Linked DNA regions of Macaca fascicularis. The protein of the gene in region 1 binds, or shares a complex with, the protein of each later gene. Links are inferred from orthologs where the notes say so. Each region holds a gene or a part of one and is shown on either strand. Other genes may lie near its edges. The genes, in order: FLT1 and VEGFB.

Region 1 (3,802 bases):
AAAGAACTCAGCTGTCTTGACTCCTCCTCCACTGCCTTTTCTGTGCACCACACTAAATAAGGTGAAAAAAGTATAAGAAAAAGTGGAAAGTGGTGCCTTGGGCTGAGGGCAGTACAAATTCCCCTTAGTCCTGAAATTTTGGACTGACTTCAGGAAGAGCTAAGCCAGCAGAATACCCTAGGGACCTGGGCAGGATGGAACGTTTGGGTTTGTGCGTCCTTTGTTTTGAAGAGTTTGCTTCCTTCTCTGGCTATATTTAATGATTTGCCTCCCTGTGCAACTTGGTGGAGCTTAGTGTTTTTGTGGAAAATCCATGGCTGTCTTTCATATTTGGAAGATAAAGGTAAAGGAAAGACAAAACCAAAAGGCTAAATTGCAAATGGAATACTTCATTTTCCAAATAAATTAACTGGGATCCTTAAATATGGTTTGTAATAAATTCACTATATTCTGCCAGAGTCCCAAGAGTTCAGTAAATTACGTTTATTTAACAAAAGTGGTACTGATAAGCAGAGCTGAATATACCATTGATGGGGAGTCAGGAAGGGAGTGAGGGAGCCTGAGTTTTGGCCCTTGGGGACGTGCCTAGGCTGTGACTTCTGGGTGCCTTGGGGACGAAGGCTGCCCAGGGAGAGTTTTCACACGCAGAGCCCTGAGTGAGCATGTGGAGCATTTTTCTCCCCACACTATTGCCAGCGCTTTGTCTGATGCCTTCTGTCCCACAAAAGATCTTGTGAAAAATAAAATTCCAGTCCCCAAATGAACAGAATCCAATATAACTGCATTGTGGAAACACAATAACAAATAGTGAAAGTCTACCTGCCCTCAGGTGGGCTACCTGCGATGGCAGTGGGTATTTACTCTGAGGCCTGCCTCCCTCTGCAACCCTGGAAGGTCTCTTTTCAGGGACTGGGAACCTTGGTGCCCTTTTGGCTTTTAGGCTAGGTTAGGGCTGTCCCTCCGGAAGCTTTCTCCCTGTGCTCTGCTTGCTCCCACTGTGCCCTCTAGTGGAGGGATCGCTCTTGCTTTGTGACATTTCTAGAAAAGCCCAGGAAGGATGGGGGAGGCGGGCTAATCCTAGCACTGCCATACCATGCAAATAGATCAAGGGACACCACTGAACCCCAGTCCCTCTCTGCCTCTGCCTCTGCCTCAGTATTGCTGTCTAGCAGAATCTAAGTTAGGAACATGGTCTAATTATAAAGCCACTGAAAGTGCTAGGTTTTTAGAGTGTCATAGTTACTAGATGAATTACAAAAGGCAATAAAAATCTTTTCTGGTTTCCCATGAACACCCAGAACCGACAACTCCTTTCCTATGAATCATAAAATAATAGCATAATAGAGCTTTTCAGAAGAGGATAATGAAACTCAGAAAAGTAAGGTGACTTGCCCAGGATCACATGATTAATGGAAGAGCCAGATGAACCGGGGCTTGAATGCGCAGTCCAGGGTGAAAGGCCATTACTACCCTTGTTAGAATCAACTCGTATCTTTGTTTTGAATGGAAGAGAAAAAAAGCAATGTCCATGTTCCCTCCTTCCCCAAGGAAACCTGGGAAATTGGTAACTATAGCCTTCTCTTATGACTCCTCCTAGGGGTTACAGAGTGAAGCACCAAGCACACTGGGGATCCTTTCCTCTCAGTGATGTCATCCTTCACAAGATGGCATGTGGCATGGAAGAGTGGTTAAGGGCACAGACGTGGGCACCGACCAATCCTGGGTTTAAGCTTTTTTTTGAGCTGGAGTTTTGCTCTCATGGCCAGGCTGGAGTGCAATGGCGTGATCTCGGCTCACTGCAGCCTCCACCTCCTGGGTGCAAGCAACTCTCCTGCCTCAGCCTCCTGAGTATCTGGGATTATAGGCATGCACCACCATGCCCAGCTAATTTTGTATTTTTAGTAGAGACAGGATTTCTCCATATTGGTCAGGCTGGTCTCAAACTCCCGTCCTCAGGTGGTCTGCCTGGCTCGGCCTCCCAAAGTGCTGGGATTACAGGCATGAGCCACTGCACCCGGCCAGCTTTGCTCTTTATTAGCTGCATGTGAATTTGATTACTTTACTTCTCTGAACCTGTTTTGGAAACATTAAACAAGAAATGTACCTAAAGCTTTTAATATACCGGCTCACACAGAGCAAGCATTCAGTAAATACCCACCACTATTAATTTTTTTTTATCTGATCTAAGATGCTGTCTAGAAGCCCAGGCAAGAGCACAACAGACTCTGCAACCCCAGAGGTAGTCAGGCTCCTGGACACTGTAGGGCCTCTGCGCTAGTTCACGATCCATTATGAGAAGTGAAATGCTCTCATTTCTCATCAGGCAATTGCCAGTTGAGGGACTGGTTTCCCACTGCTGTGCTGGAGCTCCTTTTTACCTGGGTCCTTTTTGGTCTCTTCAAAGGATGCAGCATTACACATGGAGCCTAAGAAAGAAAAAATGGAGCCAGGCCTGGAACAAGGCAAGAAACCAAGACTAGATAGTGTCACCAGCAGCGAGAGCTTTGCGAGCTCCGGGTTTCAGGAAGATAAAAGTCTGAGTGATGTTGAGGAAGAGGAGGGTAGGTATTAATTCCTTCCTGTCCAACGCGCTGAGATATTTTTACAACATACTGTGCATCTCTGAAATTTTTTTCTTATTTATCACTCTAATAAACATCCGTGGGAGACTCGAATGGTAATGTCCTGAGGAGATAAGATTTGAATTAAGATTATTTACAGAGTTACTAATTTTGACAGGGAACTGTACCGTTTTCTCCCCTCAGGCATTTTCATCCTAATGGATCATCCCCCTGCCCCCATGCTTGGATAAAATGGGCTGGAGGCCTGGAAAAAATCTCTGGTGTTCATGTTGAAACTCAAATACTCTTAAAAATGAACTCTGGTCTACTTGTTGGTTTGTTTTATGTTTTGCTAACATTGTTCCAATAAACTGGGATTTGATGGGATAACAAGAGCCATTACAAACAGTTACGGTTCTAATGCTTTCCAGATTCTGATGGTTTCTACAAGGAGCCCATCACTATGGAAGATCTGATTTCTTACAGTTTTCAAGTGGCCAGAGGCATGGAGTTCCTGTCTTCCAGAAAGGTCAGTCTTGCTGTTCACTGTTTTTCCTTCTTTGCCAGGGTTGGACGCACACCTTTGCTATAAATTCATTTTTCCTAGTATTTGCTGATACCTGTGTTCTTTTTTTTTTTTTTTTTTTTTTTGAGACTGAGTCTGGCTCTGTCGCCCAGGCTGGAGTGCAGTGGCCGGATCTCAGCTCACTGCAAGCTCCGCCTCCCGGGTTTACGCCATTCTCCTGCCTCAGCCTCCGGAGTAGCTGGGACCACAGGCGCCCGCCACCTCGCCCGGCTAGTTTTTTTTTTTTTTTTGTATTTTTTAGTAGAGACGGGGTTTCACCGTGTTAGTCAGGATGGTCTCGATCTCCTGACCTTGTGATCCGCCCGTCTCAGCCTCCCAAAGTGCTGGGATTACAGGCTTGAGCCACCGTGCCCGGCTTACCTGTGTTCTTAAATGTAGAACAAACACCACTGCAAGTACCTTAATTTGCCCTGATATGAGGAGTTTTGAGAATGAGGAGTCGTGGATACCGATGGATAGAACTTAATTCTGGGGAAAACTCACAGGTGTCAGACTAGACGAATCTGGTATCTGCTCTCCACAGTGCCCTCTGGCGTATTTTCAAATCTGGCCCAAATCGCAATACATGACTTCATAGGAGAGCAACTGTTAATATAGCCATGTGGGGCCCTCCCACAAAACTGCAGCTGAAGAAAGATCTCATCTTGGCAGCTCA
Region 2 (4,235 bases), on another chromosome or scaffold:
GTAGAGATGGGGCTTCACCATATTGGCCAGGCTGGTCTCAAACTCCTGACCTCATATGATCCATGCGCCTCGACCTCCCAAAGTAGAGGGATTACTGGCGTGAGCCACCGCGCCTAGCCACGAAGCCGATTTTCTATAGCAAATACCTAAAGGCCAGTGCCCACTGCTAGCAGCCTGCCTAGTTCAGTGATGGAGTTAGATGCATACCCTTTCTAGTCTTCTGGGAGGAGCACCCCCATGTCCACAGCTGCTGTAACACCTCGAAGTGGCCAGGGACTTCGGATGCCATTGGACCCTAGACAAGCCAGGGCCACTCTGAGCCCTCCCTACCTATCACAGGCAGGGTTAGGCTGAGGTCCCTAACCCTGTGTGGGTTAAAAAGCTGTGAGGCCCCTAGAGTGGGGTGGAAGGGGGCAGGACTTCAGGGACAACAGGAATTCGAGTCCCAGGGTTAATTGTGACACATTGCAGGAAGGTGAAGCAGATGCACCTTAACTTCATGGATGAAAAGGATCGGATCATCACAGCCATGCACAATGAAGCGCGGGAGCGGGCGCGGGCCAGGTCTGTCCCTGCTCTATTCTGCCCCCTGCTCCCTGTCCCGGCACCACACTTCGGGATCCCTATCCCAACCACCCAGGTGCCCTCTCCTCCAGGGCCAACAGAGCCAGCCTTCAGCAGGAGCGACAACAGCAAAGGCAGCAGCAGCCGCCACCACCGGAGCCAACCCAAGTCCCCGAGATCGTGCCCCCGGGCGCCGGCCCCTGAGGGGCTCACCTGGATAGGGCCTGCAGTGCGTTCCCGCCTTGCTTCCTTCCCTGGACTGCCCGCTTCCCAAAACGCGTGCAATAAAGTGATTCGCAGAGCTAGTGTGCGGCTCCCTCCTTCAGGCCCGGCGCCCCCTGCCCCGGCTTCGCCGAGGGGCAGCGCCCCGCCCTCTGGGTAGTGACTGCCGCGACCCGGGAGCCCGGCCCCCTGGGCGGTGCGTCCCCTTTCCCCTGCAGCGGCGGGAGGGGGGAGGGGGGGTGTGTGGAGGAGGCGGGTCCCGCCGGCGGCCTCGCCCCCCCGCCCCGCCGCCCCGCCCCCGCCCCACGGCCCGGTGGGGAGCGCGTGTCTGGGTCACATGAGCCGCCCGCCCGCCAGCCCGGGCCCGGCCCCCCGCCGCCCCCGCCGTCCCCGCCGCCGCCGCCCGCCGCCACCGGCCGCCCGCCCTCCCGGCTCCTCCGGCCGCCTCCGCTGCTCTGCGCTGCACTGCCTGCACCCAGGGCTCGGGAGGGGGCCGCGGAGGAGCCGCCCACCGCGCCCGGCCCCCGCCCGCCGCGCCCGGGCCCGCGCCATGGGGCTCTGGCTGCCGCCGCCCCCCGCCCCGCCGGGCTAGGGCGATGCGGGCGTCCCCGGCGGGCGGCCCCCGCGGGCACCATGAGCCCCCTGCTCCGCCGCCTGCTGCTCGCCGCGCTCCTGCAGCTGGCCCCCGCCCAGGTACGTGCGGCCCGACAGCGCGCCCGCCAGCCCGCCCGCCAGCCCGCCAGCCCGCCGTGCCCTCTCTCAAGGTTGGCGGAAGTGAGGAGGCGACCCGCGGCCTCGGCCGGGGGGATCTGCGGGGTCCGGCCTTGGACGCGGGCGTCTCGGGGCCCGGCGCGTGCATCCCCTGGGAGGTGCCCCTCCCCGCTGGCCCGCCAGCCCCAGTCTGGGGCCACTCCTCCGCCCCACCCCGTCCCCTGGGCACCGCCGGGGGCGGGGCTCCCTCAGTGCTCGCAGGACCTGCTTCGGTGCCCACTGTGCGCGCTCCTGATCTGCATGCAGCCCCCAGACATGCTCGGTTCTGCGGCCTGGAGATTTGATGAGGCCGCCGGAGCACCTGTTGTGTTTTGGGCCAGGGCAGGTCCGGGGTGGCCAGGAAAGGACAGGTAAAGCTAGAGCAGTGGCCACAGGAACAGAGCAATCTGGAAAGATGTCAGAGAGGTGGTGAAGCCTCCTGATGCAAGGGCAAAGCCCCAGGGATGGCGACAGGGAAAGACCCTCCTAAAGGGTACCTTGGGTACAGGTCTTTTCTCTCCCACAGGCCCCTGTCTCCCAGCCTGATGCTCCTGGCCACCAGAAGAAAGGTAATACTCATAAAAACTCGGCACTAGCCAGCACTGAGAGGGTTTGTCATTGGCCCTGATTCCAGGTGCCTGGTGTCCGTCATCTTGTATAACTCCCCTAGAATATGCAAACTGTTATTCTACCCATTTCACAGAGGAGGAAATTGAGGCAGCGGGGTTACTGGGATCTGGATAAACAGGGCAGGGGAAGACAGGTTGTGAGGGCAGAGTGGGGAGGGCTACTGGAGGGTGGCTGTGACTTGGGGACTGGGGGGGACAGCTGCTGGGAGCAGCTGCAGGAAAAACAGTGAGGACTTAACCCCTACCGGTCTGCTCCCAGTGGTGTCATGGATAGATGTGTATACTCGCGCTACCTGCCAGCCCCGGGAGGTGGTGGTGCCCCTGACTGTGGAGCTCATGGGCACCGTGGCCAAACAGCTGGTGCCCAGCTGTGTGACTGTGCAGCGTTGTGGTGGCTGCTGCCCTGATGATGGCCTGGAGTGTGTGCCCACTGGGCAGCACCAAGTCCGGATGCAGGTACTGGGCATATGGGGCAGTGGGCAGGGGATGCAGGTACTGGGCAGGTGGGGCAGTGGGCAGGGGATGCAGGCACTGGGCAGGTGGGGCAGCGGGCAGGGGATGCAGGTACTGGGCAGGTGGGGCAGTGGGCAGGGTGGATGCTGGCTGGCTCTGGGGTTGGGGCAGCCTGGAGACTGAGGCACAGGAGGTAGGGTTGGGGGGAGGGCTGGTGGCCAGCCTCCTGGCTGTTGGGTGAGCTTTTCTCCCTCCAGCCTTAGAGCATCCCCTTTCTCTCTCTCCCTCACTGTCCCCCCTGTTCTTCTCCTGAGCACAGATCCTCATGATCCGGTACCCGAGCAGTCAGCTGGGGGAGATGTCCCTGGAAGAACACAGCCAGTGTGAATGCAGGTGCCAGCCAGGCCCAAATTCTGAGCTTACAGAGGCCAGGCTGGGGGGGTGCTGGGTATGGTGGTCCACAGAACTGGGGACCAGGTTCCTAAGAGTAGAGCCAAGGGTAGGCCTTGGATCTGGGGCAACAAAGTAGGATGGTTGGGTCAGTGGCTCACACCTATAATCCCAGCACTTTGGGAGGCCCAGGTGGGCAGATCATCTGAGGTAAGGAGTTCAAGACCAGCCTGGCCAAGATGGTGAAACCCCGTCTCTACTAAAAAAAAAAACAAAAACAAAAATTAGCTGGGTGTGGTGGCGGATGCCTGTAATCCGAGCTACTTGGGAGGCTGAGACAGAAGAATAGCTTGAACCCAGGAGGCGGAGGTTGCAGTGAGCTGAGACCATGCCACTGCACTCCAGCCTGGGCAAGAATAGGGAAACTCAGTCTCAAAAAGAGAGAGAGAGAGTAGGATGCTGGGATTTCCTGATCTTCCTCCTCTTTGTGTCTATCTCTCTTAATTTTTCAGACCTAAAAAAAAGGACAGTGCTGTGAAGCCGGACAGGTGAGTCTTTTGGACTCCAGCTGAGTGGGGGCAGGGGGAGTACAAGTGAGTCCGGAAGCTGTTGCCCCTCTTTCTCTTCCCACCTGTCCCCCGCTTTCCCTTTTCCTCTGCTCCCCAAGCCTGTGTTCTCTGTCCCGACCCCAGCTCCAGGGAAGACTCTTCCTTCCCACCCCAGACATGTCGCTTCTCCTCCCTAGGGCTGCCACTCCCCACCACCGTCCCCAGCCCCGCTCTGTTCCGGGCTGGGACTCTGCCCCCGGAGCACCCTCCCCAGCTGACATCACCCATCCCACTCCAGCCCCAGGACCCTCTGCCCACGCTGCACCCAGCGCCACCAGCGCCCTGACCCCCGGACCTGCCGCTGCCACTGTCGACGCCGCAGTTTCCTCCGTTGCCAAGGGCGGGGCTTAGAGCTCAACCCAGACACCTGCAGGTGAGGTGTCTGTAGGGTGGTGTTTGTTTGGGAAGACACCAAGGTCCTGTCCTGGAGCAGGTCCAGGGTGAGCCTGCCAGTAGGAGGAGGGCCAGGGAAGGGGAAACTGTTGAATGTGTTGAACAAATATTTACCAAGCAGCTGCTGGCACCTGGAGCTATGTAAGCAAGTCCAACATTGTAACTCAGGAGTCAGATACAGGAGGGACGGTGCCAGCAGAGGATGTCAAGGGCTGTGGTGAGGGGC

Evidence for each region.
Region 2: the proteins of FLT1 (region 1) and VEGFB are in contact, whole or in part, in a crystal structure (PDB 2XAC), measured with the Homo sapiens proteins. The link is inferred for Macaca fascicularis from reciprocal best matches to the Homo sapiens genes FLT1 and VEGFB. Residues at the interface, in NP_002010.2 of Homo sapiens: Tyr139, Glu141, Pro143, Phe172, Pro173, Tyr199, Ile202, Gly203, Leu204, Asn219, Leu221, Arg224, Thr226; in NP_003368.1 of Homo sapiens: Ser37, Trp38, Ile39, Tyr42, Thr43, Thr46, Cys47, Gln48, Pro83, Asp84, Asp85, Gly86, Leu87, Cys124, Arg125, Pro126.

The regions. Positions count from the first base shown.
Region 1 is NC_088391.1:8,249,016-8,252,817, reverse strand, and holds part of FLT1 (vascular endothelial growth factor receptor 1), read left to right. Parts: intron 1-2,404; coding exon 2,405-2,561; intron 2,562-2,992; coding exon 2,993-3,090; intron 3,091-3,802. UniProt on the Homo sapiens protein: Tyrosine-protein kinase that acts as a cell-surface receptor for VEGFA, VEGFB and PGF, and plays an essential role in the development of embryonic vasculature, the regulation of angiogenesis, cell survival, cell migration, macrophage function, chemotaxis, and cancer cell invasion.
Region 2 is NC_088388.1:10,159,658-10,163,892, reverse strand, and holds the start of VEGFB (vascular endothelial growth factor B), read left to right. Parts: upstream 1-1,160; 5' UTR 1,161-1,419; coding exon 1,420-1,479; intron 1,480-1,747; exon of another isoform or gene 1,748-1,907; intron 1,908-2,062; coding exon 2,063-2,105; intron 2,106-2,424; coding exon 2,425-2,621; intron 2,622-2,937; coding exon 2,938-3,011; intron 3,012-3,520; coding exon 3,521-3,556; intron 3,557-3,753; coding exon 3,754-3,967; coding exon of another isoform or gene 3,968-3,989; intron 3,990-4,235. Other genes in the region: DNAJC4 (dnaJ homolog subfamily C member 4), read left to right, coding at 472-946. UniProt on the Homo sapiens protein: Growth factor for endothelial cells. VEGF-B167 binds heparin and neuropilin-1 whereas the binding to neuropilin-1 of VEGF-B186 is regulated by proteolysis.